Canis lupus familiaris: one gene and its partners. The protein of the gene in region 5 interacts with the protein of the main gene of each other region in a biochemical or structural test. Links are inferred from orthologs where the notes say so. Each region holds a gene or a part of one and is shown on either strand. Other genes may lie near its edges.

What was found.
Region 1: the proteins of PPP1CA (region 5) and MPHOSPH10 form a complex in vitro, tested with the Homo sapiens proteins (2 studies listed by BioGRID and IntAct). The link is inferred for Canis lupus familiaris from reciprocal best matches to the Homo sapiens genes PPP1CA and MPHOSPH10.
Region 2: the proteins of PPP1CA (region 5) and SFI1 form a complex in vitro, tested with the Homo sapiens proteins (2 studies listed by BioGRID and IntAct). The link is inferred for Canis lupus familiaris from reciprocal best matches to the Homo sapiens genes PPP1CA and SFI1.
Region 3: the proteins of PPP1CA (region 5) and RRP1B form a complex in vitro, tested with the Homo sapiens proteins (4 studies listed by BioGRID and IntAct, with this or other methods). The link is inferred for Canis lupus familiaris from reciprocal best matches to the Homo sapiens genes PPP1CA and RRP1B.
Region 4: the proteins of PPP1CA (region 5) and PPP1R15A are reported together in a solved structure, tested with the Homo sapiens proteins (2 studies listed by BioGRID and IntAct, with this or other methods). The link is inferred for Canis lupus familiaris from reciprocal best matches to the Homo sapiens genes PPP1CA and PPP1R15A.
Region 6: the proteins of PPP1CA (region 5) and PPP1R10 form a complex in vitro, tested with the Homo sapiens proteins (2 studies listed by BioGRID). The link is inferred for Canis lupus familiaris from reciprocal best matches to the Homo sapiens genes PPP1CA and PPP1R10.

What each region holds. Positions count from the first base shown.
Region 1 is NC_049224.1:38,436,787-38,441,200, reverse strand, and holds part of MPHOSPH10 (U3 small nucleolar ribonucleoprotein protein MPP10), read left to right. Parts: intron 1-32; coding exon 33-170; intron 171-2,081; coding exon 2,082-2,192; intron 2,193-4,414. UniProt on the Homo sapiens protein: Component of the 60-80S U3 small nucleolar ribonucleoprotein (U3 snoRNP). Required for the early cleavages during pre-18S ribosomal RNA processing. Part of the small subunit (SSU) processome, first precursor of the small eukaryotic ribosomal subunit.
Region 2 is NC_049247.1:24,909,762-24,913,550, forward strand, and holds the end of SFI1 (protein SFI1 homolog), read left to right. Parts: coding exon 1-42; intron 43-133; coding exon 134-365; exon of another isoform or gene 366-1,411; intron 1,412-1,612; coding exon 1,613-1,944; intron 1,945-2,167; coding exon 2,168-2,279; intron 2,280-2,371; coding exon 2,372-2,476; 3' UTR 2,477-2,586; downstream 2,587-3,789. Other genes in the region: PISD (phosphatidylserine decarboxylase proenzyme, mitochondrial), read right to left, coding at 3,617-3,789. UniProt on the Homo sapiens protein: Plays a role in the dynamic structure of centrosome-associated contractile fibers via its interaction with CETN2.
Region 3 is NC_049252.1:37,532,692-37,537,766, reverse strand, and holds the start of RRP1B (ribosomal RNA processing protein 1 homolog B), read right to left. Parts: upstream 3,487-5,075; 5' UTR 3,424-3,486; coding exon 3,294-3,423; intron 1-3,293. UniProt on the Homo sapiens protein: Positively regulates DNA damage-induced apoptosis by acting as a transcriptional coactivator of proapoptotic target genes of the transcriptional activator E2F1.
Region 4 is NC_049222.1:108,160,922-108,166,125, forward strand, and holds the start of PPP1R15A (protein phosphatase 1 regulatory subunit 15A), read right to left. Parts: upstream 3,447-5,204; 5' UTR 3,156-3,446; intron 2,521-3,155; 5' UTR 2,512-2,520; coding exon 544-2,511; intron 134-543; coding exon 1-133. UniProt on the Homo sapiens protein: Recruits the serine/threonine-protein phosphatase PPP1CA to prevents excessive phosphorylation of the translation initiation factor eIF-2A/EIF2S1, thereby reversing the shut-off of protein synthesis initiated by stress-inducible kinases and facilitating recovery of cells from stress.
Region 5 is NC_049239.1:50,565,262-50,570,109, reverse strand, and holds PPP1CA (serine/threonine-protein phosphatase PP1-alpha catalytic subunit), read right to left. Parts: upstream 3,506-4,848; 5' UTR 3,410-3,505; coding exon 3,355-3,409; intron 2,830-3,354; coding exon 2,698-2,829; intron 2,542-2,697; coding exon 2,311-2,541; intron 1,755-2,310; coding exon 1,650-1,754; intron 1,454-1,649; coding exon 1,230-1,453; intron 1,147-1,229; coding exon 1,012-1,146; intron 935-1,011; coding exon 824-934; 3' UTR 691-823; downstream 1-690. Other genes in the region: TBC1D10C (carabin), read left to right, coding at 4,684-4,848. UniProt on the Homo sapiens protein: Protein phosphatase that associates with over 200 regulatory proteins to form highly specific holoenzymes which dephosphorylate hundreds of biological targets.
Region 6 is NC_049233.1:560,767-565,180, reverse strand, and holds part of PPP1R10 (serine/threonine-protein phosphatase 1 regulatory subunit 10), read left to right. Parts: intron 1-1,897; coding exon 1,898-1,975; intron 1,976-2,107; coding exon 2,108-2,281; intron 2,282-2,488; coding exon 2,489-2,594; intron 2,595-2,707; coding exon 2,708-2,820; intron 2,821-4,161; coding exon 4,162-4,262; intron 4,263-4,414.

The DNA of each region.
Region 1 (4,414 bases), on a different chromosome or scaffold from region 5:
AATTTATGTTCCTTCTGCCTTTCATATTGCAGGCTTGGGATGATGTAGTACGTAAAGAAAAACCTAAAGAGGATGCATATGAATATAAAAAACGTTTAACGTTAGACCATGAGAAGAGCAAATTGAGCCTTGCTGAAATTTATGAGCAGGAATACATCAAACTCAACCAGGTAAGGAAGCCTGGAAGGCAAAGCCATTGTTACTTAAAAAAAGAAGTGGAGAACCAGCTCTGCTGGTTGAATGAATTAAGTTCCAATTTCACCCTGGCTGAAATTCATGAAAGGAATCTTGAGCTCTTGGCTCACCTTATTTAAATGTGAGACAGAGTATGTTAGGAATAGAGGGGTTATAATACTACCACTGAATGTGAGGGGGGTAGGGGAGCTTGTATTGCATTTAGTTATTAGTCACCTAATTGTTCCACAGCTAATTACTAACTTTTCACCAATTATAGTAGCCCTACAATTTAAAAATCAGTTCTCATTCATACTGTAAAAGTTACAGATAGAACATATCTGTGAATTCATTCAGATTTTTAGGTCATGGGTTATTTGGTTTTTGATTCTTATTTCTTTTCAGTTAGATTCTTAAAAGAACTACCTGGCTAAGTAGGACAGAGCCTTATTTCCCATAATACTATATTACCAATATAGTGATGGAATTATTCCTTCACATTTGATTTATTGAGAATGTGGTCAATACGTGCTTGGGGAGGAGAGAGTATTTTATTTGCAAAAGCCATTTAAGATTTCTGCCAGATTTGTTTAATTAACGTCACATTAGCAGCAATAGTCATCAGTGCCCTCAATGCCACTGTTAAGTTGAAGATTTGGAAAGATTTGAATTAATTCTTCCTGGCGGTTTTGCATCCCAGAGTGCTAGTTGAAGGAACATGTTACTGAACATTGCCTGGCATGAGAGGATTTAGTAAACACAGAAAGTATTTTGTAACCATGAGAGTTAAAAATTAAATATGTAATGCGACAGCTGTACCAGCTCTGTAAATGATAGTTATATTTATGTCTTAGAATTCATCAGCCAGTTCTCAAGTTTTTGAGTATGGACTTAATTTAGGCTGATTCTAGACCCATTCCATTAAGAGTTTGGGGATGATGAGTATTTTCCAGAGTTTGGTATCCATCCTGGAGGTGATAAGCAAGGTGATGGTACACAGCACATGAATGAACTTCTTGTTGTTTATGTATGATTTCACAGCCATTATTCTCTGGGCTGAGGTAAACAACGTGTTTAAGATTTTTTTTTTAAATGAATTAAGTTAAAATAAAGAAGCAGTGGCAAGTGCTTAGATGTGGCTGAAGGTGGGCTTTGATGACAGAAATTGGAAACAGACCTTGATGCGTCTCAGGCATTAAGGTTGTTGAGGCAAAGAGCCAGTTGCTTCCCTGTTTTGGTGTGTATTGTTTTGTTTTGTTATGCCTTAATAAAAAAGCAAATAAAAACGGTCTTAGCCTTTTAGAATAAATATTACGGGCAGAGGGAAAAGGGGATTGTGAGCGTTTGGGCTGTTTTTACCTTTTGGTTGCCGGGAATAGTGCTGCTCTGAATAGATGTTTACATGTATTTGTTTGAGAACCTCTTTCTACATTCTCTCAGGTATTTATCTAAGGATGGAATTGCAGGGTCATATAGCAATTCTCCGTTTAACTTTTTGAGGAGCTCTCTCATTCATCTCTATTGTGACTGCACCATTTTACATCATTACCAGCACTGCACAACGATTCTAATTCCTCAGCACCTAATACTTGTTACCTAGCTCCCCTTTATTTTAATGATAGCCATCCTCATGGGAGTGGCTTAGTTCTTGATAGAAATCAGTACCAAGGGAATTATAAGTTCTAAATCATAGAGGTAGGGGTTGCTGCAGCTCCTAAAGTGCACGTCACACTTCTTCTTTGGTGCTGGCACCATCATGGTATTGATAATTTTAAATCTGCCTTGTAATGTCTTTGGAGCTGAAGCCTTGGTGTTGAGAAATGGGCTATACCTTATTGACTCTTGTGTTTTGTCCTGTGATGTGTATTAAGCTGCTCAGTCTGATGTTGCTGAACTTATTTTCTAAGCAAAAAACAGCAGAAGAAGAAAATCCAGAGCACAAAGAAATTCAGAAGATGATGGATTCTCTCTTCTTAAAATTGGATGCCCTCTCAAACTTTCACTTCATCCCTAAACCAGTAAGTGTGTTAACATTTCATTGTGTGGTCAGAGCAGATGTGACCTTAATTCCTCTGAGCTTTTGTGAAGCTAACTCTTTATTTGGTTTTAGGATACAAACCTGTAGGAATTCCTTATAAATTACATGCAGGGCCTCTCTTGAGGATGGTTCACATCTAGTCCTAGACAAGTCTGGCTTTGTCTGCTGATCCAGCCTGATCTCCAAATGGGCCCTTCCCAGGCCTCAAGTCTTAGCCACAGGGTCTCTTCATTTCTTACTCTTTCTTATTGTTCAGCCTTCTGTTTTATTTCCATCCTGCAGTTGGTTTGGAGACCTGTGGTGTCTGTACCTGATATTTTTTGGATACCTGCTCTGTGCCATATTAAGTCCTTTATGTACATTAACCCCTCTTCCCCAGTTTGATTAAGACAGATCTGTAACACTGTAAGTTTAAGATGTACAACAGTGGTTTGATACATAGGTTCCCCCACATTCGGAAAGCACATGAAGCCTTTTGCAAGACTAAATGGGGTAAAGCAAAGAAGCAATTACCATTCATTCAATGGAAAATTTTTTGAGCATTTTAGACCCCAAAAATAATCTGTTGTAGGCTTTTCTGATACTTCAGGACCAATCTTGTAATGGATGCGCAAATAAATTGAGATAAAGCACAGATGCTCACAGACATAGTTTAAAGCTCTGGTGACTTAATGCTGAGATACCAAGTGTAGTTCCTGAGGAAGGAGCTGGGCAGAGCTGCTTGCTGCAGAACAGATGCTGAATGCTATTTTTGTTTTCCCTTTTTTTAAAAAATAAAAGTGAAAAATGTTTTCAGATCTCTTTCACTTAGCAAGAGCAGATACTAATGTAGGTATTTTAGAGTGACCTAGCATAAACTTTTGAAAGGTGTGGCATACCTGCATGAATATATTGAGGAATGATTACCACGGTAAGTTTAGTTAATATCCATCACTCTATATAGTTGCAGTTTTCTTCCTTATGATGAGAGCTTTTAAGATCTACTTTCTTAGCAACTTTGAAATATAAAATACTGTTAACAGTAGTTACCCTGCTGTATATTAGATGCCTAGAACTTACAACTGGTAGTTTGTACTTGGACTTGACATCCACCTGTTTTCTATCAGTTGGGTTGTTTTAGATACATCTGAGATTGTTACTAAGAGTTAGATGGAAAAGGAACGAAGCTACCATTATTTCTCTGCCCCAGTAAAGAATTACAGGACAGAAAAATGAAAGCAAAGCAAAGTTTTATTAAATACCCTCCAAGGGAGGAGTGAGCCAGCCAAGAGAGACAATGCCCCAGAAACTGGTGCATGGGGGCGTGGGCTTATATTAGTTTTTCCTTTTGGGTGGGTCCTAGGGTGGCAACATTTGAGTGACAGGCCTGGATTATATTAGCCAAGTACTCATGTTCTTTCCCAAGATGTATTCTGAATGCCTGCAAGAGTGGGAAACTGCAACATTATTTCTGTTATAGAGACAGAAGGACAAATGGCTGCTTTCTGCAGAAGTGCAGTAAGTGCAACAAACTTAACTCTTCCTCTGCTGGGATGTTGCAGCCCCAGACCTACTGCTTGATGGGTGGAATGTAGTGGTCCCTGGGTGGGGCTCTCTGGCAGGATATCTAAGGTCCATTCTCCTGTCGCTCATGCCTAGTTTCCTGCCTAACAGGATCGTACGGTATTTATCTTTCTCTGTTGACTTCCTCCCTCAGCATAATGGCCTTAGGGTACATCAGTGTTGTCACAAATGGCAGGATTTACTTCTTTTTATGACTAAATAGTATTTCACTCTGTATTTATTCATTCATCTGTTGATGAACACTTATATTGTTTCTATGACGTGGCTATAGTAAATAATACTGCAGTGAACACGGGGGTTCAGATACTTCTTTGAGCCAGACATGGGCACCAGCTTGGCTCTACAGATGGGTGAGGTTGCTGGCCAGGATCTCTCCTTGGGCACTGCTGTGAGGAGGAATGTGGTCTGCCAAGGTCCAGGTACTGTTGCTATAAGCCCTGCCCTTGCTCTCCATCCCAGTCTGAACCCCAGTGATCAAGCCTCATATTTTCCCTCCCTGATCCTCCTGACACAGACACAATTGGGCCTGCCCAGAAGCATCCTGCAGTGCTGGGAAGCTGAAAGGCCACCTTGGGTTCTGTTCCACTGGAGAAGGCATAGGCTAGGTCTCATTCTCAATGGGGCACTGTTCTGGCCTGG
Region 2 (3,789 bases), on a different chromosome or scaffold from region 5:
GAGCCAGAGGCCCCAGGGGTGTGGCAGCCTCAGGGGAAAAGGGTATGTTGTGTGGGCTAAGGTGGGTGGCCTCCTTTCCTTCCTGCTCCTCATGGGGGGACCTTGGCCTGACCAGCTCCTGCCTCCTGCTTAGGTCTGAGGCACCTCAGGAGTGTGACCGAGGCCTGGTCTGGCCAGCAGGCCCTTCCCTGATGAGGCCTTTCCCACCAGAGGCCTGGATGGCACTGGTCCCAAGCAGCCCTTCACCCCAGCCCAGGGCCCTGCTGGGTCGCCCTGGCCTGAAGCTGCCCCCCACATTGAAGACAGGCCCAGAGCTGCTGCCCCCTTCATCCTTCATGCCGTGTGGAGTGGAAGCACCTGCCAGGGTGAGTCCTCCCGGTCACCTGGGGGTCATTCTTTGGTTGGGCCTTCGGTGCTTTTCCTCAGGTACTCGGTGCTGCTGCCACAGCTGAACTCATTGCTGCCAGAGCTACCCGCGCCAGAGGGCGCAGGGAAGGCACCCACGTTCACCACATGCAGGTGCCCCCATCCTAGAGACACGGTATGGAAAGGCTGCCCAGGCCCCCACTTGGGAAGCTTCTATCCTAGAGGTGGAGCCCCAGACACTGCAGACCGTGGAGGGTCCTGCGGGCCCTGGGGAAGCATCTGGATTTTAAGAAAAGTAGGAAATGGTGGGGGCTGGTTTGGCCTGCTCTGCCCCCATGGCCCAGCAGGTGCTGGGAGCCAGGAGTAGGTGGTGGCTGTGGTGCGGGCAGATCCCATCGTGGGAGGCAGAATAGGCAGGACCTGCTCCGATGGGTCTGATAAGGGTGAGGAAGGAATCCAGGATGGCTCCTGGGTATCTGGCCTGAGTAACTCCAGGAATAATGAGTTCTTTTACTGAAAGAGGGAAGACGGGGGGTGGGGGCTCAAGGGCTTGTTTGGGGTAAAGCCTGGAGAGTCTGTCTTGAGCCTGTCAAATTTGAGATCAAGTACCAAGGTTCTGAGTGTGGCCTTCAGAGAGCAAGTCAGGGCTTGAGAGCAAGAGAGTCTGCAATGTACATTGAAGGTTAACTCCTGGGAACCAAAGAGGTCACCTGGGAGGAAAGGGGCGGTGGCTCCCTGGGGCAGGTGACATCCAGGTGGAGGAGTCCAGGCTGGGATGGCACGGTGGTATGGGAGGCCCACGTGCTCAGAGAGAAGACAGCGGCAGGGTTGGGCCATGCCAAGAGCTGGTGCTGAGGGGAGCTGGTCAGTGTCACTGGAAGGTACTGGAGGGTTGTAGATGTGTGGTCTGACCAGGACGATTGCCTTTGACCACCTTTCCTCACTGATGTGCAGGGTCACGGTTCAGATCAGGGTCAGGGTAAAACTGCTGCTTGGAGAGGTGCTGAGCCAGGCCCTGGAGCAGGGGTGGGACTAGACTGCACAGGTGAGGGGTGTTCCTCGGGATCCTGCGGGACTTCCTCCCTTGTGTCGGGTCTGAAGAAAGGGGCAGGGGTCAGGACTAGACTGGGTGAGCTGGTCAGGTCAAGTCCTACAGCCTCACCTCCCCACGCCCTGCAGTGGGCAGCCTGGGTGCCTCCCCCAGCCTTCTTCCCAGCTTCTGTGCTCACCCGTCCTCCCTTTCCAGGCCTCTGCACAGCCCACCACTCCTGGGCTCACACTTCAGGCCTCGCCATCCCCAGCCAGTGTCCCTCAGTCCCGCCTGCTGCTTCCTGGGGACTTCATGGGCACTGGGCGCAGCTCTGGAACCATGGGTGTGCACCCAAAGCCTGTCAGCACTGCGAGCACTCGGGCCGCTCCTGGTGCCTGGGCTCCCTCCACTCAGCCTTGGCCTAGCCGAGAGGGGGGTCAAGATCAAGCCTGTTCTCCTATCACCGCGGGCCACGACGACCTGGAGGCTGAGCTTGAGAGCATCCAGCAGCAACTGCAGGACTACCAGACCATGAAGCAGAATCTCTCGTAAGACCCAGAAAACCCCAGGTGTTTCCCCACAGCTGGCTTTGGGGTGGGGGTGTCCTTGGGCAACTTGGGCCCACCCAAGTTGCTTGCTGAGCTGGGTGGTGGAGGACAGAACACAGCCACCCTCCCCACCTCCCATCAGAAGTAGCAGATGTGCCGCTTCCTCCCCTGGAGGTGCTGCCACAGGCCGGCCAGGCCAGCAGCAGGTGTCTCACTCCCTCAGGTCCTGCCAGCGGCAAGCAAGAAGCCTGCGCAGGTGGCTGGAGCTGAGCCAGGAGGAGCCCAGGCCTGAGGACCAGGAAGCAGAGCAGCAGGTGCAGGAAGAACTACAGGAGGTGAGGCCTTAGGCAGCCCTGGAACAGCTTTCTCCCCTCCTATCTCCGCGCTTTGTCTCCGCTCAGCCTCCTGCCCCTCCCCCCGTCCCCAGGTGGAGCTGCAGATCCAGCAGCTGGCCTCTGAGCTCCAGGCCCAGCGCCAGCCCATCCGCGCCTGCATCGCCCGTGTCCAGGCCCTGCGGCAGGCTCTGTGCTAGTCACTGCCCCTGGGAGGCCTCAGCCCACCTCCAGGAACAGAACGCAAAGCTGCAATGAGTTTAATTTTTTTATTTCAAAACGTTGCAATTAAATGAATTACTGTTCAGAAGTCTCCTACTTTTCATACAAAAATACTGTGCTACTGATACAGTTGAAAGAGTTCAAATGGCTTCTCCTGCAGGAGAAATTCACAGCGTCCCCAGGAAACCTGAATCCTGGCCCCACCGTCAGCGGCTCCCTAAGGACTGTGTACCTATTACCTGGGGACAGGTGTTGTAGGCACTGACCTGCCCCCCCCCTTTCCCAATACACCAAGGCTCCTTGGCCTCCAACACCAGCCCCTGAATCAATAGCAGCAACTTACCATGTTTCTGTAGGTCTGGGTAGGAGGGGAGGATGAGCTTCCCCCGGCCCCTCCTAGGCCACCACTACCTGCCTGTCCATTCACTTGGGACACCATTCAAGGGGCTCAGTAATTGGTCCTGCCACTGGAAAGAGGACTCGCCAGCTCTGGAGAGTCCCTCACTGGGGCCTGTAAAGCGCCATGCCATGGTGTCCCCCCCCCAGAAGATGCTGGCGGAGCCAAGGATGATGTGTTCGGCCACAAGTGCAAAGAGACAGCTTTTCTCAAACGAGCAGGGTGGGTGAATTGGGAACAGAAAGCGGTTGTGTTAAAGGCCACATGGTGCTGCTCTGGGGGCAGCACAGCCCAGTCGGTGCAGGCGAGGCAGATGGGGAGGCTGGAAAGCAATGATGAGAGCAGCAAGAACACACATAACCACTTTTCTGTCTTACAACAGAAATCAAGACCAACGGGACATCCAGCCAGGAGACGTAGGGTCTCCCAATTTATACAATAGGTTAAAAAATATCCAAAAGGGAATTTGAGATCATCTTGGCCTGCACATTCTCTCTTTTTAGGGTAGGAAGAGGGAACGACGTAGGTCCAGGGTCGACAGGGACTCTGACCTCATCTACACCTCGGGGACGGCAGGAAGCAGTCACCCAGGTCCTGCCTGGTTGGACCCCACAGGCTTGAGACTGTCCCCTTCCCAGACAGCCATGGAGGCTCCCCCTAAAAGACCCTCCCGTTTCTGTCTGAAAAAGCTCCCTCAGTAGCCGTTGCCAGGAAGGAGGCCCTAGAGTGAGCCCAGAGCCTCTCCGAACCGGATCTTCTGTCCCGCTTTCAGCTTAAAGTTGAAATCCTTGGGGGCCTCAAAGATGAGCACGATGGTGGAGCCCAGGTTGAACTCGCCCAGGTGCTCGCCCTTGCGCATGGGGATGCCCTCCTTGTTGGCGTGGGTCACGAAGC
Region 3 (5,075 bases), on a different chromosome or scaffold from region 5:
TATCTGAAGCAGGTTCAGCCCTCAGGGGCTTTTCTGTCTTCTTGGGGTTGACTTCCTAAACCAATGCCACCAGGTTTCTGGCAACAATATAGGTTTAGTTATTTCACAGCAAATGAGGCGAACATGAAGTGAGACATGGGCAGAGTAAATTTCAACAAACTGTGAAATGAGAAAACCCTGACCGCTACTCTCGGGATGAAATGAGCTCAGGAGCATTTTAGGTTGGGGTGAGTCCACACCTGGTCAGTCAAAACACCTGCAGCTCTCATCTATTCTACCTACAAGGGGCCAGGGACCCCTAAGCCTGTTAGTATGAAGAAATACTTCCTCCAATACTGAATCTGAAGCCCCATCAGCCGTAAGATGTACGGTTCTCTTACGTGCCACCAAATGAGAGCAAGAGGGCACAAGGTTGATTTTAAGATCCATCCCAGTTTCTGCAGATGTTACATGTTTACAGTTGCAGAATCAATAAAGCCGGGGGGTGTGTGTGTGTCTGTTTTTCATTCCCTGCTCTATTATTCTCAGTGCCAACAATAGTAAGAGCACACAGTAGGTGCTCTGTGTTTGCTGAAGACGTGAATGAACGGTACAAATGAGCTCTCATGGGTAAAACCATAGATAGCGATCATTCTGTACGTGCTCTGTGTGAAGTTACAACACCCCAGAGCATCATTTAGCTGCTTTAAGCACTACAAAAGTTCCCAATTTGTTTACAAAGCTTCTGGGGTTCCTGGCTGCCCCAGTCAGTGGAGCATCTGCCTCCTGATCTTGGGATCGTGAGTTCCAGCCCCATGTTGGTCGTAGAGATTATTTTTTTTTAATTTTTTTTAAAAGATTTTATTTATTTATTCATAGAAACAGACAGAGAGAGAGACAGAGATATAGGCAGAGGGAGAAGCAGGCTCCATGCAGGGAGCCTGATGTGAGACTTGAACCCAGATCCTGGGATCATGCCCTGAGCCCAAGGCAAACGCTCAACCGCTGAGCCACCCAGGCGTCCCTAAATTTTTTATTAAGTAAGCTCCATGCCTAGTGTGGAGCCCAGGGTGGGGCTTGAACTCATGACTCTAAGTTTGAGACCTGAGGGGAGATCAAGAGTCAGACACTCAACCGATAGAGTCACCCATGTGCCCCAAGATCACTTAAAACAAAAAAACAAACCCCCACAAAACTATTTATGTTGCTGGTGGGCAGTTCTTCATACCAGTAAGACTAAGATTTCAGATTTCCTTTACTACACACGAAACAAAACACAACAAACCGTGAGCCTGTCAAGGAGACACACACGTCAGGTCAAGTTACTCCCCAACTTGCATTTCAGGTCCACGGGGGACAGTGGCGGCAGAAGCCCGGCTTATTATACCTCCCTGTCACCGTCTGTGACATTCACCATGCAGTTCCTTCTTCAGAGGCCCAGCATACTCTACGCAACGTGGGCGTGGTGGTGAACAAGATAGTCTCTCTTGGCATGATGGGCACTGACCAAACAGGACCTGGGGGCACTGGTGCAGACCCAGTGGCCTCATGCCCATGTCCCTGCAGATCCTGGGCCCGCTCATCAAGCTCTGTTTGGCCATTTCAGCCCATATGTACTGCATCTGGCCTTTCTTGTGTTCTTGTGTGGAGGCAAGCCCGGTATGCCTGGATGTGCTCCCACTTCCAGCTAAGCAGACAGACGGAAGTTTACACTGTTTGGGGAAGAGTGATACAGTAACAGAGAACGAAGAAGCCACACAGCTAAGTGCCATGACAGACACACACTGGATATTTTGGAATCCTGGAGGGGTGGTGTGAGATGGTAGGGAAGGCACTTTGGAGGAAGTGATGTTGAACTGAATGCTAGGAGTGCGCAAGAGAAGCAAAGGCGGAGAGGAGAGAAACGATGCATGTATACCAAGAGTCAGCACAAAGCATCACGTAGGGGCCGAAGTGGCAAGAGAAGGGAGGACAGACCATTGCCTGCAGACCTGGAAATCCAAGAAGGTGGTGACGTGATCAGAACCGTTTTTAGAAAATGACCCGGGCTGGTTTGTGGACGAGAGGTTCAATAGAGGGTCAAATGGACTTAAAGAGATTGGCTAGGAAATAAGCAAGTTCAGAGTCTAGATGAGATAAACGGTGAGGGCAGAGTAACTCAGCAGATGAAACAGGCAGAAGCAGCAAGAGACCATGGATGAGGGGTGGAGGAGAAGACCGGGAAGAGCCATCCAGGACATTATGGTGCGTCCAGCCTGGCTTTGAGGGGATGGCGGGAGCTAGCACCTAAGATGAGAGAACACAGGCGGCAAAAGTGAAGCAAGAGAGAACAGGTTTTAGGGAGGAGGAGAATGAATCACGTTGGGGCATTCGAGTCTGGGGTGCCCACGAGGGACACCCAGGTGGAAGCGCCTCGTCCGTGCATCCTATCTGCGCTGGGAGCAGCCAGGTCTGCTCCCGCAACTCGAGCACTCGGGGACCCGAAGCTGTGATAATAAACGTCGCCTCTCCGCGAGATCCCTAAGCAGAACTGAAGTCAGAAATCTGGTCTTCCCTCCTTTCTGGGGCACGTCCCACAGAACTGTATTTTCTTTTTCCCCCGGGGTGGTCCTTTTCCATCTCTCCTCAAAGACCAAACGAACTGAGAAAGTCAGTACAGAGACAGATAACGCCTGTCCTTTCTTTCTTTTAGGTTATTTACTTATTCGTGAGAAAGGCAGAGACGTGGAGGGAGAAGCAGGCTCCCTGCGGGGGAGCCCATGCGGGGCTGGATCCCAGGACCCCGGGGTCACGCCCTGGGCCACCGGGGTGGGGGTGGGGGTGTCCCAATACCTGTTCTGTCCAGTAGACTCTCAAGGCAGTAGTGTTAGCAGTCAACACGTCAAAATGAATCCGAGCGCAGCGCAGAGCCTGCGCCGTGGGCGGTGGTCCGCACCCCCGGGGGCTGCACCGCATGTCGGGGCCCGTGAGCTTCGGGCTGCAGCCCCGACGGCCTGGAGCGCAGCGCGGCCCCGCACCCGCTCCCGCACCCGCAGCCGCTCCCGCTCCTGCACCCGCAGCCGCTCCCGCAGCCGCTCCCGCTCCGCTCGCCACCGCAGAGGCCTTCCCGGACCCGCTCCCCATCCCCTCCCCGCCCTCTGGACCTCTCCGAGCCCCCCGGCCCCCCGGCGCCCCCCGGAGGTCGGGTCCGTCCGTCCGTCCGTCCGCCCGCCCCCTCCCGCCCCCTCGTCCGGGCGAGCGCGGCGCAAACCCCCGCGGGCAGCCCCCCCCCCCCCCCCCGCCGCCATGTGCGCCGCTGCCCGCCCGGCGCCCACCTGTCTCCCTCTGCGTCTTCACGCTGATGTACTGGCGCAGCTTCTTCACCGCGCGGTCCCGGATGCCCTTCTCGTGAGACGCCAGCCGCTGGGCGAACTGCAGCTCGGCCGGCTGCATGGCGGGGGCCATCGCGCCCGCTGGACCATCCCCCGCCGCCCGCCGCCGCAGCCTCCCGCCGCCGCCGAGCAGCTCGGGGCCGCGCCTGCGCAGAAGGCGGCGGGGCGGGGCCGGGGCGGCGCGCGCGCTGATGGCGTCACAGAGGCGCCGGGCGCCGCCGCTCGCAGCGCGTCCCGGGGGCGAGGGCGGCCCGCGGCGGTTCGGCCTCGGCTGGCGGGCGTCGCCGCAGCCGGCGTTTGGCGGCGAGGTTAGCGAGCGCCGGGTCTCGCCTGGAGGAGGCCCCGCGCCTCCAGGCCCGCTCCGCGGGAGCTCCGTGCGCCGGGCGGCCACCCGCCGAGCCTCGGCGTCCGCGTGCTGGGCTGGGGGCTGGGGGCTGCGGGCGGGATGCTGGGGACAGCCCCGTTAGGGGCGCCCTGAGGGGCCGGGGCTGAGCCCCCGCTGCCCTCGGAGCCAGCGCCCCCGAGCGCCCCAGTGTCGGGGCCCGGGGCAGATCCCAGTGCAGAGGATGCTTGGGGTCAGGGGTAGGTCCCGGTGCAGGGCAGGTCAGGGTCAGGGTCAGGGTCAGGTCCCGGGGCAGAGGACGGCAGGGTCAGGGTCAGGTCCTGGCGCAGGGGTGGCAGGGTCAAGGCCAGGTCCCGGTGCAGGGCATGTCAGGGTCAGGGTCAGGGTCAGGTTCCGGTGCAGAGGATGGCAGGGCCAGGGTCAGGTCCTAGGTCAGGGGATGGTTGGGGTCAGGGTCAGGTCCTGGGTCAGGGGATGGCAGGGTCAGGGTCAGGTGCCAGTGCAGGGCATGGCAGGGTCAGGGTCAGGTCCTGGTGCAGGGGTGGCAGGGTCAGGGTCAGGTTCTGGGTCAGGGGATAGCAGGGTCAGGGTCAGGTCCTGGGTCAGGGGATGGCAGGGTCAGGGTCAGGTGCCAGTGCAGGGCATGGCAGGGTCAGGGTCAGGTCCTGGCGCAGGGGATGGCAGGGTCAGGGTCAGGTCCTGGGTCAGGGGATAGCAGGGTCAGGGTCAGGTGCCAGTGCAGGGCATGGCAGGGTCAGGGTCAGGTCCTGGCGCAGGGGTGGCAGGGTCAAGGCCAGGTCCCGGTGCAGGGCATGGCAGGGTCAGGGTCAGGGTCAGGTGTAGGGGACAGCAGGGTCAGGGTCAGGTCCTAGGTCAGGGGATGGTTGGGGTCAGGGTCAGGTCCTGGGTCAGGGGATAGCAGGGTCAGGGTCAGGTGCCAGTGCAGGGCATGGCAGGGTCAGGGTCAGGTCCTGGTGCAGGGGTGGCAGGGTCAGGGTCATTGCCAGTGCAGGGGATGGCAGGGGCAGGGACGAGGTCAGGTCCCAGTGCAGGGGATGCCGGGGCTAGGTACAAGACAGATGCAGGGGATAATGGGTTGGTACAGGTCCTGGCATGGGGACAGATTTAGAGTGGTTGTTTGCGAGTGTGCTCTCCTGCCTGGAGAACATTCGGGGGACTTGGGTGTTGTTGGCAACCTGCTGGCCTCAGAAACAGACGAGGTCTTAGTTGTGCAGGACCCAGTACACTGGACCGCGCTGGTGGCACCGATGGTGCACGCTCGGCCCGCGGGGCAGGTGAATGGACCAGGTGGCATCTTCCCGAGCAGGTGGTCGTCTGGGCTACAGGCGGCTGGCTGGGCTGGCCCTCCGAATCCCGGGCGG
Region 4 (5,204 bases), on a different chromosome or scaffold from region 5:
GGGCCTGGGCGATCCGCCGGGCGAAGCGACTACGATCTCGGGCGAGCTGCTCCCAGGGTCCGCGGCGGGCTGCCTGAGCCGGTCCTGCCCAGACAGCCAGGAGATGGACAGAGACTTTCTCGGAGAAACGGACCTGGAGACGGACCAGCACAGACACAAGACACACGTGTCCACAGGGGGGGCAGGGGGGAGAGAGAGAGCCAAAACAAAAATTAGTTGCACAAAAATGCTTGTTATCTTAGTCACCTGCTAGTCGCTCACCCACGGGATTCTCCATGTGACTCACTGCAGGTGGAGGCTGTTTCCTGGTGCTGACATGAACCACAACAGCTTCCCTCTTCCCACAGGGCCTCTTCCCATGGGGCCCCAGCCTCTTGCAAAGGATTGCATTACAGTGAACACAACCCTCCCAACAGGGTTTGCATGCAATCCCCTGCAACACACAGGGGGTCCAGAAATTGGGGCACTCAGGCCTTCTGCCCCCAGGCCTAGGACTTCCAGCTCTTCCCCTAAGACTTGAGAATTTGAGCCCTCAGTACCCACCTTTCTGGCCGTTAGGGGAGTCTCAGGGTCTGGATGCCGGGTGGGGGTTTCTGGGGGCTTGAGTCGCCTCTGCAGTCTGAGGGGCAGCCGAGGAGGAGCCCAGGGAGGTGGTGGCTTTTCTCCAGGTAAATAGATGGCCACTCGGAAGGGGCAGGGCTCAGCTTCTCCCCCTCTCTCTGTGTCCTCTCCAGGCTGGTATGTCCAGCCCCTGAGGAGGGTGCTCTGAGCCTGAAGTGAGGGACTTGGCTCTGAGTTAACTGCTTCTGAATCATCATCTTCCTCTGTGTCCTCTCCTGGCCTATACACCCAGGCCCTCACGAGGGCACTTGTGGATGGGATGGAGGAGGGATCATATGCTTCTCCCTCCTCTTCAGCTGCTCCTGAGTCACCGTCATCTTCTTCCTCTGAGTCCTCTCCTGGACAATACACCCAGGCCCTCACGAGGGCACTTGTGGATGGGATGGAGGAGGGACCCTCAGCTTCTCCCTCCTCTTCAGCTGCTCCTGAATCACTGTCCTCATCTTCTTCCTCTGAGTCCTCTCCTGGACGATACACCCAGGCCCTCACGAGGGCACTTGTGGATGGGATGGAAGAGGGACCCTCAACTTCTCCCTCCTCTTCAGCTGCTCCTGAATCACTGTCCTCATCTTCTTCCTCTGAGTCCTCTCCTGGACGATACACCCAGGCCCTCACGAGGGCACTTGTGGATGGGATGGAGGAGGGACCCTCAGCTTCTCCCTCCTCTTCAGCTGCTCCTGAATCACTGTCCTCATCTTCTTCCTCTGAGTCCTCTCCTGGCCGATACACCCAGGCCCTCACAAGGGCACTTGTTGATGGGATGGAGGAGGGACCCTCAGGTTCTCCCTCCTCTTCAGCTGCTCCTGAATCACTGTCCTCACCTTCTTCCTCGGAGTCCTCTCCTGGCCGATACACCCAGGCCCTCATGAGGGCACTTGTGGATGGGATGGAGGAAGGACCCTCAGGTTCTCTCTCCTCTTCAGCTGCTCCTGAATCACTGTCCTCATCTTCTTCCTCTGACTCCTCTCCTGGCCGATACACCCAGGCCCTCATGAGGGCACTTGTGGATGGGATGGAAGAGAGAACCTCAGCTTCTCCTTCCTCCTCAGCTGCTCCTGAATCACTGAATTCATCCTCCTCCTCCTCCCATTCCTCTCCTGAGCAACACTCCCAGGCCCCGGGGCAAAAGCCTGAAAATGAGGAGGAAATGGAGCTTTTTGTGGCTTCTTTATCCTCTGTTCTTTCTTCCTCTATGGCTTTATCTTCTTCCTCCCTGGGACAGTACACCCGAGTTTTGGGCTTGGATCTTGGAGATAAAGGGAAAATCGGTGTTCTGGAAGCTTCTTTGTTTATAGCTTCTCCTTCCTCCTTTTCCTCCCCTGGACAACACTCCCAGTGTGATGGAGGAAAAGAGAAGAACATGACCACTTTGTCTTCTGCAGCTCCTCCTTCCTCAGATTTCTCCTCAGAAGGGTCCTGTGGGGTTCTTATCAGAAGGCTGGGGGACAGGGGAGCAGGCTGGCCATCTAGGAATTCACTTTCCTGCTCTTTAGGGACACTGGTTGCTGCTTGTTCCCCACCATATTCTTCATCTTCATTATCTGAAAGTCCCCCTGCTTTAAGAGAAGAGCTGTTGGCTTTTAGATTATGGCGGGCCCCCCAAAATGCTTCTCCATTCTCATCACTTGCTCCACTGTCTCCAATCTCTTCTTCAAAGTGCCTGCCCCAGAGGGGATGGTGGGGGACTAGAAAAGTCTTAGCTTCTCTCTCCAGGCCAGGTTTTCCCCGATCCGTTTTGGTTACTGCTTCCCACGGCCAGGGTTCTGGAGATCCTGGGCCTCTCAGGTGGCTCCAGGCCCTGCTGAGAAGGCCCATCAGCGGGGACAGGAGGAAAAAGGGGTAGGTATCCCTCCAGGGGGCAGACTGATGGGGCACTTGGCCTGGGGCCATCTGTCTGTGCTGGAAATAAACAAAGGAAATAGTTTAGAAGCCATTTAGGGAAGAGTATCAAGCGAGGACTGAGTCATAGCAACCATAAACAGTAACACAAATAGCAACAAGAGAGTCCCTGCCCCACATTCTTGCTGATTTCTGCCACTTCCATCTCTAGCAGAGGCACAGCTTTCCCACCTCTCTTCTCTCAATACCCAGGAGTCAGAGGTTCCAGCCTCTTCTCTCAGACCCAGCAGTCCCAGACCCCAGAATTGAGAACACAGGTCCTCGACTTGCTTCCCTTGGGGACAAGGTCCTAGTCCCTGGTTCTGTCATTTTCTTGAGGATCGACAAATCAGGCCCTCATCACCCTCCCCCCTCTGAGACTCAAGAACTGCGGCTCCCCCTGCCCAGTTCCATCCCTTCCACCAGGGATCCAGGAGTTTGGCTTCCAGAACCCTCCTCTCGCCAGGCTCAGGCCTCCAGGCTCCCAATTTCTTCTCCTGCGTAGGTCTGGGCCCTCGAATCTGTCCTGGTCCCATCTCTCCCCAAATACAGGAGTTCCGGTTCCCAGGCCCTCCTTCCTCAGGATCCTGGGGTCCCGGCCTCAAATTCTCCTGTCTCGGTACCCAGAAATGGGTAATCCCTTCTTCCTTACTGACCAGGAGTCTGATCCCCAGCTCCCCAACTGCTCGGGGCCCAGGCGTTCGGACCCCTCGCTCACCGATGGGGGGCTACGCGTCAACCTGGGGGCAGGAGCGCCGGCTCGGGTTGCCACCAGCGATCGCAGCTCAGGACGGCTCGGGAGGCCAGCGCGTTCATCTCGCCCTCCGGTGTCGGGCTCGGGGACTCCGGGTACCACCGGCTGCTGCAAGCGCTGTCGCGGCGAAGGGATGCGGCGTCCTGAACCTGAGCGTGTAAGTTGCACAGCAGAGCTTGGAACTGACGCAGCCTCCAAAGGCCTTTATAGCCCAGCGCAACCTCACGTGCTGACGTCACGGGGGCGGGGTTTTGAAACCAAAACCACCCGGCTCGGGATTGGAATTCTCGCGGAGATTCCAGGGGTTTTATGACGACACAACGACGTTTCCGAGCGCGACCACGCCCGAAACGGGCGAGCTGTCAATCAAATGCGTGCGGGGCTTCGGGAGCCGCGGGTTTTCTCCCAATTCCCGTTCCGGTGCGAAAACGCCTTCCCAAAACCCCAGTGTAATCAGCAGGCCTCAGACCAGAGTCCCCCCTTCACAACGGTCCCGCTTCCTTCCTGGTTGGGGAGATGGTTGATTCCATTTCACAGATGAGAAACTGAGGCTCCGGAATGAAGTCCCTTGGCGGAAGTGGTCACAGCAATCCACATTGATTGCAGATGAGAACAAGAATGCAAGCACGCTGAAGGCAGGCACTTGGCTTTGCTCACTGCTTTTTTCTTTCTTTCTTTCTTTTTCTTTTTTTTTTTTTTTAAAGATTTTATTTATTCATGAGAGAAACACAGAGAGAGGCAGAGGCACAGCCAGAGGGAGAAGCAGGCTCCATGCCGAAAGCCTGATGCGGGACTCGATCCCGATCCCGGGACTCCAGGATCAGGAGGCGCTAAACCACTGAGCCACCCAGGGATCCCCATAATCATTGTTTTTTTTTTTTTTTCCCCCCTCGGTGCTGGACACATAGTAGGTGCTCGACATATGTGGGTGAGTGGATTCGAAACCAAAACCTCAAAAGACTCCTTAACTGGTCTCAAGCCCGAGGCTCCGCACCTGGATTTCATCCACTTCAAACTCACAAGAGCTCATACACAAACCGAAATTCTGGCCAAAGTGCATCCACTGAACCTCATGGGAGTGGGGTCTCCAGCCACAAGTTTCAGACTCTGGGACACAGTCCCAATTCCCTGCCCCATCCCTCCTACCTGGTCCCTAATTTTGCTCCTTGAAATATCCTCAGTGTAGAACACAGTGCTCACCTGGATCTGAGATAGATGTTTGGCCATGGCCCCTTGACCCTGCCCTAGCCATGATCCAGGAATCCGGGGTCACTCCCTCCTCTGGAAAACCTGGACCTGTCCACCCAGAAACACCTTTCCAGATGCCGGACTCCGTTAACAACTCAGGAGTTCTAACTCCAGGCTCACACCTTTACACCTTTTCGTGTATCCAGAAGTGTGAGCCCCCTCTATTCCAGGATCTCAGCTACCTCCTTTTAGGGTACAGTGACCTGGGCCCTGGAGTCCAGGCCCAGCTCCTCCTCTCCAAACAGTTAGGAATCCCAGCCCAGCAGGGACCCAGGAGTCAGGGGAGCCCCAGCCCCTCCCCTCAGCTGTGGGGCACCGGAGCCAGGGGTCAGGCTTGGAAGGGGTGGGGGGAGGCCAGGAGGGGCGGGGTCAACCGGGATTGGAAGGGGAGACCGCAGCGTGGGCGGCTGGCAGACCAGCAGGGAGGAAAGAGAAACGGAGAGGGGAGGAAGACAGAAGGGGAATCTGAGAGAGAGGAGGAAACAGCGTCGGTGGGGACAGAGATAGAGAGAAGGAGGAAGAGCTAGAGGGTGGGGGTGGGGGGGGGAGAACGAAATGGAGACCTGAGGAAGAGACTCTGTGTCAGCCCGAACGAAAAAGATCTGGAACAGAAACAGAAAAGACTGGAAGGGAAAGTGCTGAGGTGGGGGGCGGGGAAGAGAATGAGTGAGAGAGAGAGACTGGAGGAGACAGATTGAGAACC
Region 5 (4,848 bases):
GTCCTTCCTGGCTCTGACTAGCCTGGGTCCTGTCTTCTCTAACTCCCAACCAATCATGTCTGTTCCCAGGCTTTGCACCGAGCTGCCACCTGATGGGAGGCCCCCTGTTATTCCCCTCCCATAGGCCTTTAGGCCAGACTCCCAACTATGTGGCTAGGGCTGGACACCTGCCTTCCCTAAGCCTACCTCCCCAGGACAGAAATCACAGAGGGGCTATGAGCCCCTGCTGATTTACCTTCTTTGCCAATCATGACTTGTCTGTCCCTTAAATCCTAAACACACCTCTGGAATCCTTTGTGGTCACCAAACTGTTTTCTCTATACTCTCTGGCCCCAGCTTGGAATTCTAAGCCCCCATGGACCTGAGCCTATGGCTGGGATTGCCCTAGCTGGGGCCCCATGCCCAGCATGCCTATCCTCCCAAGCAGCCCTGGACAGAAGGGCTGCCAGGCCCAGTATTTGGGACAAGGGAGACAGAGGCCATGGCGAGAATCCAGCTTTGACCTTTATTCAAGAGACCAGATGGGTTGCCCCAGGATCTGTCGGCCAGCCCTGAGGCCAAGCAAGGCTGGAAACCCACATCTGGCCCTGCTTTGCCCTGAGCTGCAGCCTCAGCCCCAGGATCCTGCTTGCCACCACTATAGCAGGCGGAAGGGGCCCTGGGGGATTGGACGCTGCTATTGATTCATTAAAAAAAAAAAAAAATACACCAAGGCTCCGTGTTCCCCGTGACAGGTGGGCCTGGGGGGCCAGCGTGAACCCCCTATGGCCACGTAATTTCTGTACAAATCCACCATCTGGGGCAGAGTGCGGGCACGCGGAGGCTATTTCTTGGCTTTGGCGGAGTTGCGGGGTGGGGTGATGGGCCGGCCTCCAGGGTTCAAGCCACTGAATTGCCCGTATTTCCCCTTGTTCTTGTCAGCGGGCTTGAGTATCTAAAAAAGACAAGAGCTGGTCAAACTCATGGGCTAAGCCACAGGGTCACCAGCCCCCCTCCTTCCCCCATCCCAACCTGGAAGGAGCACATGAGTGTCTCATCCACACTCATCATGGCGCCTGCATTGTCAAACTCGCCACAGTAGTTGGGAGCCGAGAAGAGAGTCACCAGCTGCCGCTTGGCAAAGAATTCATAGCCATCTTCTACCACCTGGATGAGGATGGGGGCAGTTTGTTCAGCAGGTGCTGGCTACCCAGGCCCCACTCCCACCCGCCCCAGAGCTGCCAGCCCACCTGGTGTGCCCGGCAGATGAGGTCCAAGTCGTGCTTGTGCAGGAATTTGGCCACTACCTCAGCCCCAAAGGTAAAGGAGACACCACGGTCATTCTCGCCCCAGCCCTGCACGTCCTTGTCAGGGTCAGACCACAGCAGGTCGCACAGCAGGCCCTGGTCCGGCACGTCTGTAGGCCGCATGATACGCCGAATCTGCTCCATGGACTGCAGGTCTGGGGACAGGCCTGGGGGAGGGCAGGTTACTTGCTTAAGCCTCAAAACAAAGAGTGACATGCAAACCAAGACCACTGGGAGAGGTCTTCCAGGTGACGGGGAAGACATCCTCCAGCTAACAGCCTCATCCCAGGGCTCCCCGGGATGTGGCCCAGGGCTCTTCCTTCCCAAAGAACCCTTCAACATGTACCCTAGAGCCACTCTCACCTCCATGGCAGCAGAAGATCTTCTCATCCACGATGGCAGCAATGGGCAGGCAGTTGAAGCAGTCAGTAAAGGTCTTCCACAGTTTAATATTGTAGCGTCTCTTGCCTGCTGGGAGGAAGGAGATGCCTCATGAGGCCTATCTGCCCCACAGCCAGCCTGGGTCTTGAGGCCCTCCAGACACAGCTGGGAGAAGAGAATGGCAGACAAGAAGAGAATCCCCCCTCCCCCGACTCCGCTGCCTACCAGCCTTCCAGGAATTCTAAAGCAGCTAGGTCCAGAGGAACCTGAGTTCCAATCCGAAACAACCCACCCGCACCCAGTGAGCAGGGCCAGGCCAAGACTAGGCCTGGTTTATCTCAGCTTCTGGTTGGTAGGATCCAGTCCAAATAGGCATCCCAAGTGCCTAATGGATGTCCTGGAGGGGAGTGTCATGAGGCAGGGCCCTGCATTAGAACATGGGCAGTCCTCAGCAGTCACTCCCCAGACCCCTCCTGCGTGCCGGCCCCACGGCAGGAGGGCAGGCAGAGAGGCACCAACTGGTGTGCACCCTTCGCAGAGCTCGCGGTCTGTGGGTAGTGGTCAGACACCAATTCCCCTACTGCCAGGCCTATGTGAGGGTCTCCCCGAAAAGGGAAGTCACTTAAGGACTTGGGCTACTCACACTCATCGTAGAAGCCATAGATGCGGTTGATGCTAGCACACTCATGGTTCCCACGGAGCAGGAAGAAGTTTTCGGGGTACTTGATCTTATAGGCCAGCAGCAAGCAGATGGTTTCCAAAGACTGCTTGCCCCGGTCCACGTAGTCCCCCAGGAAGAGGTAGTTGCTCTCTGGAGGGAAGCCACCATACTCGAAGAGCCGCAGAAGGTCGTAGTACTGGCCATGGATGTCACCTGTAACCCAGGGAACCGGTTCAGCGCTAGGTGCAGGGGCTACACTTGAACCCAGGGCCAAGTTCGGGCTCCAGGGAGCAGCAATGCAAGGACTGGGCGGGGTGAAGTGGGGATTCCACTTTCAGAAAGCCAAAGGGATCTGGGCAGCAGACTCACCGCAGATCTTGAGGGGTGCCTCCAGCTCCAAAAGAATGGGCTGGCTCAGGAAAATCTCCCGTGATTTGAGGCACAGACCACGGATCTCGTTCTCTGTTAGCTGTACATTCTTTCCAGGCCGCGAGCCCTGCACTGTGGGAGGAATGGGGTGTCAAGACTCTGGTCCCTCAGGCAGGAGGAAGGTGGGCGACACAAGTGGCCCTATGGGCACATCTGAGGGCGCCTGGGCCTCCTAGGCCCCTCCCTGCCTAGGGGCAGCTGTTGCTGGTGAGCCTCCCAGGACCTCCGCCTCTGGCCTCCCAGGATGGGACCCCCTCGAGGGGGTGTGCTGTGCGCGGGGGCCTGCCACCCAACACCCCACCCATAGCGCAGGACCCCTGGGAGGGGTGGAGCTAGGCTTCTTAGGTTTCTCCCTCACTCCCAATAGCGCAGGCCAACCCGTGCGCCCCCCGCCCAGGAGGGGGGCTGCTCCCCGTGCCAGAGCGTCCCCGGAACCCCCCTCCCCCGGCGCGCCGCGACTCGGGGGGCGGCTGTGGCCACGGGACCTTGCGGCCCGTCCCCGCCCAGTCTAAGCTGGCCCGGGGAGGGGCAGGCCCGCCCGCGCACCACTTCCGGGCCAGGGCGCGGCGGGCACCGACCTCCCCGGCCCCGGCCAACCTTCCAGCAGGCGCCCGATGATGGAGTCCAGGTTGAGCTTCTCACTGTCGGACATGGCGGCGCCGCCGCTCCGCCCCAGCAGCTCCGGGCCCGCTCCTGCCGCCCTCCCTCCCGCCCGCTGCCTCCTTCCGGCCTGGCGCTCCTTCCGCCCGCCCCGGCCCGCCCCGGCCTGCCGCCCCGCCTCCCCGGCCCGCCGCCCCGCCCTGCGCGCTGCCCCCGCGCTCTAGCGCTCCCGCCGGACACCGCGCGCAGCGGCCGCGGCGGCCCGGGGGGCGGGGCATAGGGGACGGGGCGGGGCTCGGGCTGAGCTCGGCCGTCGGGACGGAGCCCGGCCGGTGGGTGGAGCTCGGAGGGCGGGGTCGAGTCTGGTCCCGCCCCCGAGGAGTTACCCGAGTCCAGTTCCGAGAATATGGGGCCGGAAGTGCTGTGGGAGTTGTTTGTCTCTGTCAGACGCTAACCCACCCCCTGGGCGGGAGCGTGGTATGAGCACATTAATAACCGATGCTCCAGACACTGCGGATCAAGTCCTCGAAGTGCAGAAAAGGAAACGGAGACTCAAGAGATAGCAGGGGGGTGGGTTGGTCCAAAACCCTGGCCTCACATTCACGGGGGGCCTCCACCTCCTGAGTCTCTGCGGCCCTCAAGGCAGCTGGCCAGACCCAGGCACCTGCCGCGGCGCTCTGAACCCATCTTGGTCCACGCTGTGCTGCACGCTGAACTAATTTTTGTAAGTTCCGTTATTGCCTGCTGAGTGCATAATAACGCTGCGTTAGGTATATATTCAAAGCATTACTTGTAAAGAGCAAATATTAAATAAACGAGAATTCTCACTGGAATCTTGAATTGTTTTAACCTCAAAACTGGAGGGGCCTGGCCTCTGTAACTCGGGTGGGTCCTGGACTGGTCACACCCTGCTCTGGAGCCCAAGCCTGCAGCCACCCAGCCCATGGGGAGGGTGGGAGGAGCCCACGGTCCTGGGGGCACTGGGGCAGGCCGGAAGAGCCTCAGAGAGGAAGAGGTGACCCCCCCACACACTTGGGAGGGGAGTGTGGGAGGGGCCCCCCAGCCGGTGGCTGAAGCTGCTGAGAAGGAGGAAGTGAGAGGAGGAGGTGAGGTGCAGCAGGGAGGTAAGCTGGCCTGGGGGGGCAGGGGCTGGGCCTGGGGACCAGCCTCTACACAGAGGTCTGGCTTTTCTGCCATTTCAAGGCTCACTCTCACCCTCACCCTCCCACCCCGATAAAAGAGGGGACAGAGGGGGCTTGGTGAGATGCCCTGAAGTCTGTGCCCTCTGAACCCTGCAGCCAGGTCCCCGGGCTGGGGACCGGCTGGATGGGAGCTCAGGCCCCAGGCTGGTCAGAAGCTGCCTCTCACACTGGCTTTCCCCACATCTTGCAGCCTGTGGTAGCTTGGGTCTGGGGCACCATGGCCCAGGCCCTGGGGGAGGACCTGGTACAACCTTTCGAGCTGCAGGATGACTCAAGCTCTTTGGGGTCC
Region 6 (4,414 bases), on a different chromosome or scaffold from region 5:
CCTATCTGAAGTTCCTTTAGCTATAGGAGAAAACACTGGGAACATTTAGCAAGTTAAAGAGTTTAACTCACAGTGTTTAAGTGGAAAAACATTCTCTAGCCTTCCATTATTTTAGTAATATTAAATCTTGGTTTTGGGTCCTTTCAGATATTGAGCACTTCTGTGTTTGTGACATTACAAATTATCTTTAATAACTTATAATGTAAAACTACAGAATTTTCTATTAAATCATTGTTCATCTCTTATTTTTTCATTGCTGGGTATATTGTTCCCTGTTTTCCAGTTGTCTCAATTGTATTGCCACCTTTGAATGTAGATTTAATTGTTTTGTACTTCCTTTGGAAATTTGTACATTCCTAATAAAGTCTGACTAGACTATAGTATCAATTGGTCCAAAAAGGTTCAGGATATCCCTGTATTAGGGATGTACTGGAGTTTGTGTTGCCTTAATTATAGAAACTGCTAGTTGTGTGGGTATTTATTTGAAAAGTTTGGTTTTAATGTTTTCAATAATCTCATTATTAAACGAATCTGTAAGTGGAAAAGCTGGCAAGAGGATAGGTGCCATAGATAAGAGATGTGATTTGCCAAGTACGAAAAGCAAGAGCTGTAAAGGTCTTTGTTTTTTTTCCGTATATTTGGAAACACATTTTGTCCTTTAAATTCTCTGACCGTCTTTTTTTCTCTAAACACTGCCTTCCCCATCTCTAATGTGGTCTGCTTTATAAGCTCTTCGCTACACTTATTTGCTACATTTCCTTGATTTTTTTTTTTTAAGATTTTATTTATTCAGGCAGCCCGGGTGGCTCAGCGGTTTGGCGCCTGCCTTCAGCCCAAGGCGTGATCCTGGAGACCCGGGATCGAGTCCAACGTCAGGCTCCCTGCATGGGCCTGCTTCTCCCTCTGCCTGTGTCTCTGCACCCCTCTCTCTCTCTCTCTCTGTGCTTCTGTGTCTCTCTTATGAATAGAGCAGCAGAATGAAGCCAGTGTCCACACTCTTCCACTAACCATGTGTTAAAAGAACAAGAACTAAACTCAAGGAAAAAGCAGGCAGGGTTCAAGTGTCCAAACAGCTAAGAACAGTATTATTGTGTTGTCCTAAAGGCAAACAAAGTATCAAGGAGCCTGACTTAGATTCATCTTATAAAAGATTTTCTAGGGGATCCCTGGGTGGCTCAGGAGTTTAGCGCCTGCCTTCGGCCCACAGCATGGTCCTAAAGTCCTGAGAGCGAGTCCCGCATCGGGCTCCCTGCATGGAGCCTGCTTCTCTCTACCTCTCTTTCTGTATCTCTCATGAATAAATAAAATCTTAAAAAAAAAGAAAAGAAAAGAAAAGAAAAAGATTTTCTAGGCCACCTTTTTTCCTATAATGCCAATAGTAATAATGGCTTAAAAAAAATCAAATAGGGACACCTGGGTGGCTCAGCAGTTGAGCATCTGCCTTCAGCTGAGGGTGTGATCCCAGATTCAGGGATCGAGTCCAGCATTAGGCTCCCTGCATGGGGCCTGCTTCTCCCTCTGTGTCCCTCTCTCTCTCTCTGTTTCTGTGTCTCTCATTAATAAATAAATAAAATCTTAAAAAAATAAAGATTTTATTTATTCATGAAAGACACAGAGAGGCAGATACAGGCAGAGGAAGAAGCAGGCTCTTCACAGGGAGCCCGATGTGGGACTTGATCCCAGGAGCCCGGGATCACGACCTGAGCAGATGCTCAACCACTGAGACACCCAGGCCTCCCAAGAGTTTGAGCCTGTCTCATCTTCTCCTTAAAACTCTGGGCTACGTTTTCTGTTACATAGATTTTCACAGTATATCTTTAAACCTCTGTATTTTCTATTATTGGAAGAATAATATTTTTAGTTACTTAGGGATTTTCCCTTATACTCTCACCTGCAGAGCTCCGGAAATTGGCTTCAGTCCTTGTCAGTGACTGGATGGCTGTCATCCGCTCCCAGAGCAGTACCCAGCCTGCTGGTAAGCTCCTTAGTCTTTTATCCCTTGTATTTATTTCTTTCCCACTGGCCTTCGGTGGCTTTAGCCTGCTTCACCTCTTGACAGTCTTTCTCTTTAAATAAAATCCTTTTCTGCTTTGTTTTTTCACAACAGAGAAAGATAAGAAAAAACGTAAAGAAGAGGGGAAGAGTCGAACCACCCCTCCCGAGCGACCCTTGACTGAGGTGAAGGCTGAGACCCGGGCTGAGGAGGCCCCAGAGAAGAAGAAAGAGAAGCCCAAGTCTCTCCGAACCACAGCACCCAGTCACGCCAAGTTTCGTTCCACTGGTAGGGTGGTTGGCTGGTCTTGGGAGAGTCTGTGGGCAGATGTACACCTAGGGTCTTGTGGTGGAATAGTGGATTTATGACATGGGGAAGAGAGAAGATGGAAGACTAGTAGGTGAGGTTTGGGCTGGGTAAAGATTTAGTGTTGGAGTGGGGAGGAAGAGTTAGAGTGGTAATAAGTTCAACGCAATGGCATGTTTCTTCCCTCAGGGCTAGAGCTGGAGACCCCATCTTTGGTGCCTGTGAAAAAGAACGCCAGTGCAGTGGTGGTTTCTGACAAGTACAATCTTAAACCCATCCCCCTCAAGCGTCAGAGGTATGGCCCTTGTGTACTGGGTTCTGTGTGGGTTATGTCTGTGGACATGAGGGAGGAAGAGGGGGCAAGTTAGGGTGCATCAGAGATCATGTTGATGGCTCATCTTCCAACAGCACCACAGTTGCTCCAGGAGATGGTGCTCCCCCTGCAGAGAAGAAATACAAGCCACTGAACACCACACCAAATGCCACCAAAGAGATCAAAGTGAAGATCATCCCACCACAGCGTGAGTCTGAAGTAGAGGAACACACTTTGAATTGGGAGAGAACTCCATGGAAATGAGTTGGGGGGGTGGTACAAGATGGATTTCTTAGTTTTGTGTGCTTGTCTTAATTTTTGCACCTCTGGAGCTCCTCTTTCATAGGATTACTTAGAAGTAATCTTGGGTATGGGAATGGGGTGCTATTCGGTGACTGGTTCGGGGTGCTCCCAGTCTCGGGATAGTCGGTCCTGTCCATGAGGGTTGTTTTCCTAAGTCACCTGAGCTCTAATTAATACTGAAAGCCTCAAGTTGCTTTTATTTAGTTATTATTTATTACTAGTTAGTTAGTTAGTTTAGCCCCCCTGATGCGTGGGGCTCGATCCCAGGACCCTGGGATCGTGACCTGAGCTGAAGGCAGACGCTCAACCCCATGAGCCCCGCCAGACACCCCAAGTTGCCTGCCTTTATTTTTATTTATTTATTTATTTATTTATTTATTTATTTATTTATTTATTTATTTATTTATTTATTTTAAAGATTTATTTATTCATTCAGAGAGAGCAAGAGAGAGGCAGAGACATGGGCAGAGAGAGAAGCAGGCCCCATGCAGGGAGCCCGATGCGGGACTCGATCCCGGGTCTCCAGGATCGCACCCCAGGCTGCAGGCGGTGCTAAACCGCTGTGCCACCCGGGCTGCCCAGTTGCCTGCCTTTAAAAGAAAGAATAGGGCACCTGGCTGGCTCAGTTGGAGGAACATGCAACTCTTTATCTCCAGGTCATGAGTTCAAGCCCCCATGTTGGTTATAGAATTTCTTTTTTTTATTTTAAAGATTTTATTTATTTATTCATGAGAGACAAAGAGAAAGAGAGGCAGAGGGAGAAACAGGCTCCACGCAGGGAGCCCGATGTAGGACTCCATCCCGGGTCTCCAGGATCACGCCCTGGGCCGAAGGCAGACGCTCAACCACTGAGCCACCCAAGCATCCTGATTATAGAATTTTTAAAAACAGGGGCAGCCCCAGTGGCCCAGCAGTTTAGCATGCCACCTTCGGCCTAGGGTGTGATCCTGGAGACCGGGATCGAGTCCCACGTCAGCTCCCTGCATGGGGCCTGCTTCTCCGTCTGCCTCTCTCTCTGTATCTCTCATGAATAAATAAAGTCTTTTTTAAAAAAACTGAAAAACAAAATTAAAAAAAATTTTTTTTTTCTTGTATGAATCCAGCATATGCATCCTGGCCACCTTGAACTTAACTGTGTCCTAAGTTGGGGTAGGGTCTCCATTGGCCCATTTCCTGCTCAAACTTTGTAGGAATAGGATTGTGAAAGAGGTCTGATGGTTCCATTTTATGCTTTATCCTCTTGTAGCTATGGAGGGCCTGGGCTTCCTGGATGCACTCAATTCAGCCCCTGTTCCAGGCATCAAAATTAAGAAGAAGAAGAAGGTGTTGTCACCCACAGCTGCCAAGGTATGAGCCCTGTGCCGTAGATGTCAATGACAGGATATCTAAAGTGAAAGGAAGGGCCCAGGAATGGTTGGGAGGACCACAGGATGTGGACTGGGGTGAGGGTTGGGGGGCTGGCAGTGGGAGACGCAAAGTCTTCCTTCATCTGAATCCGC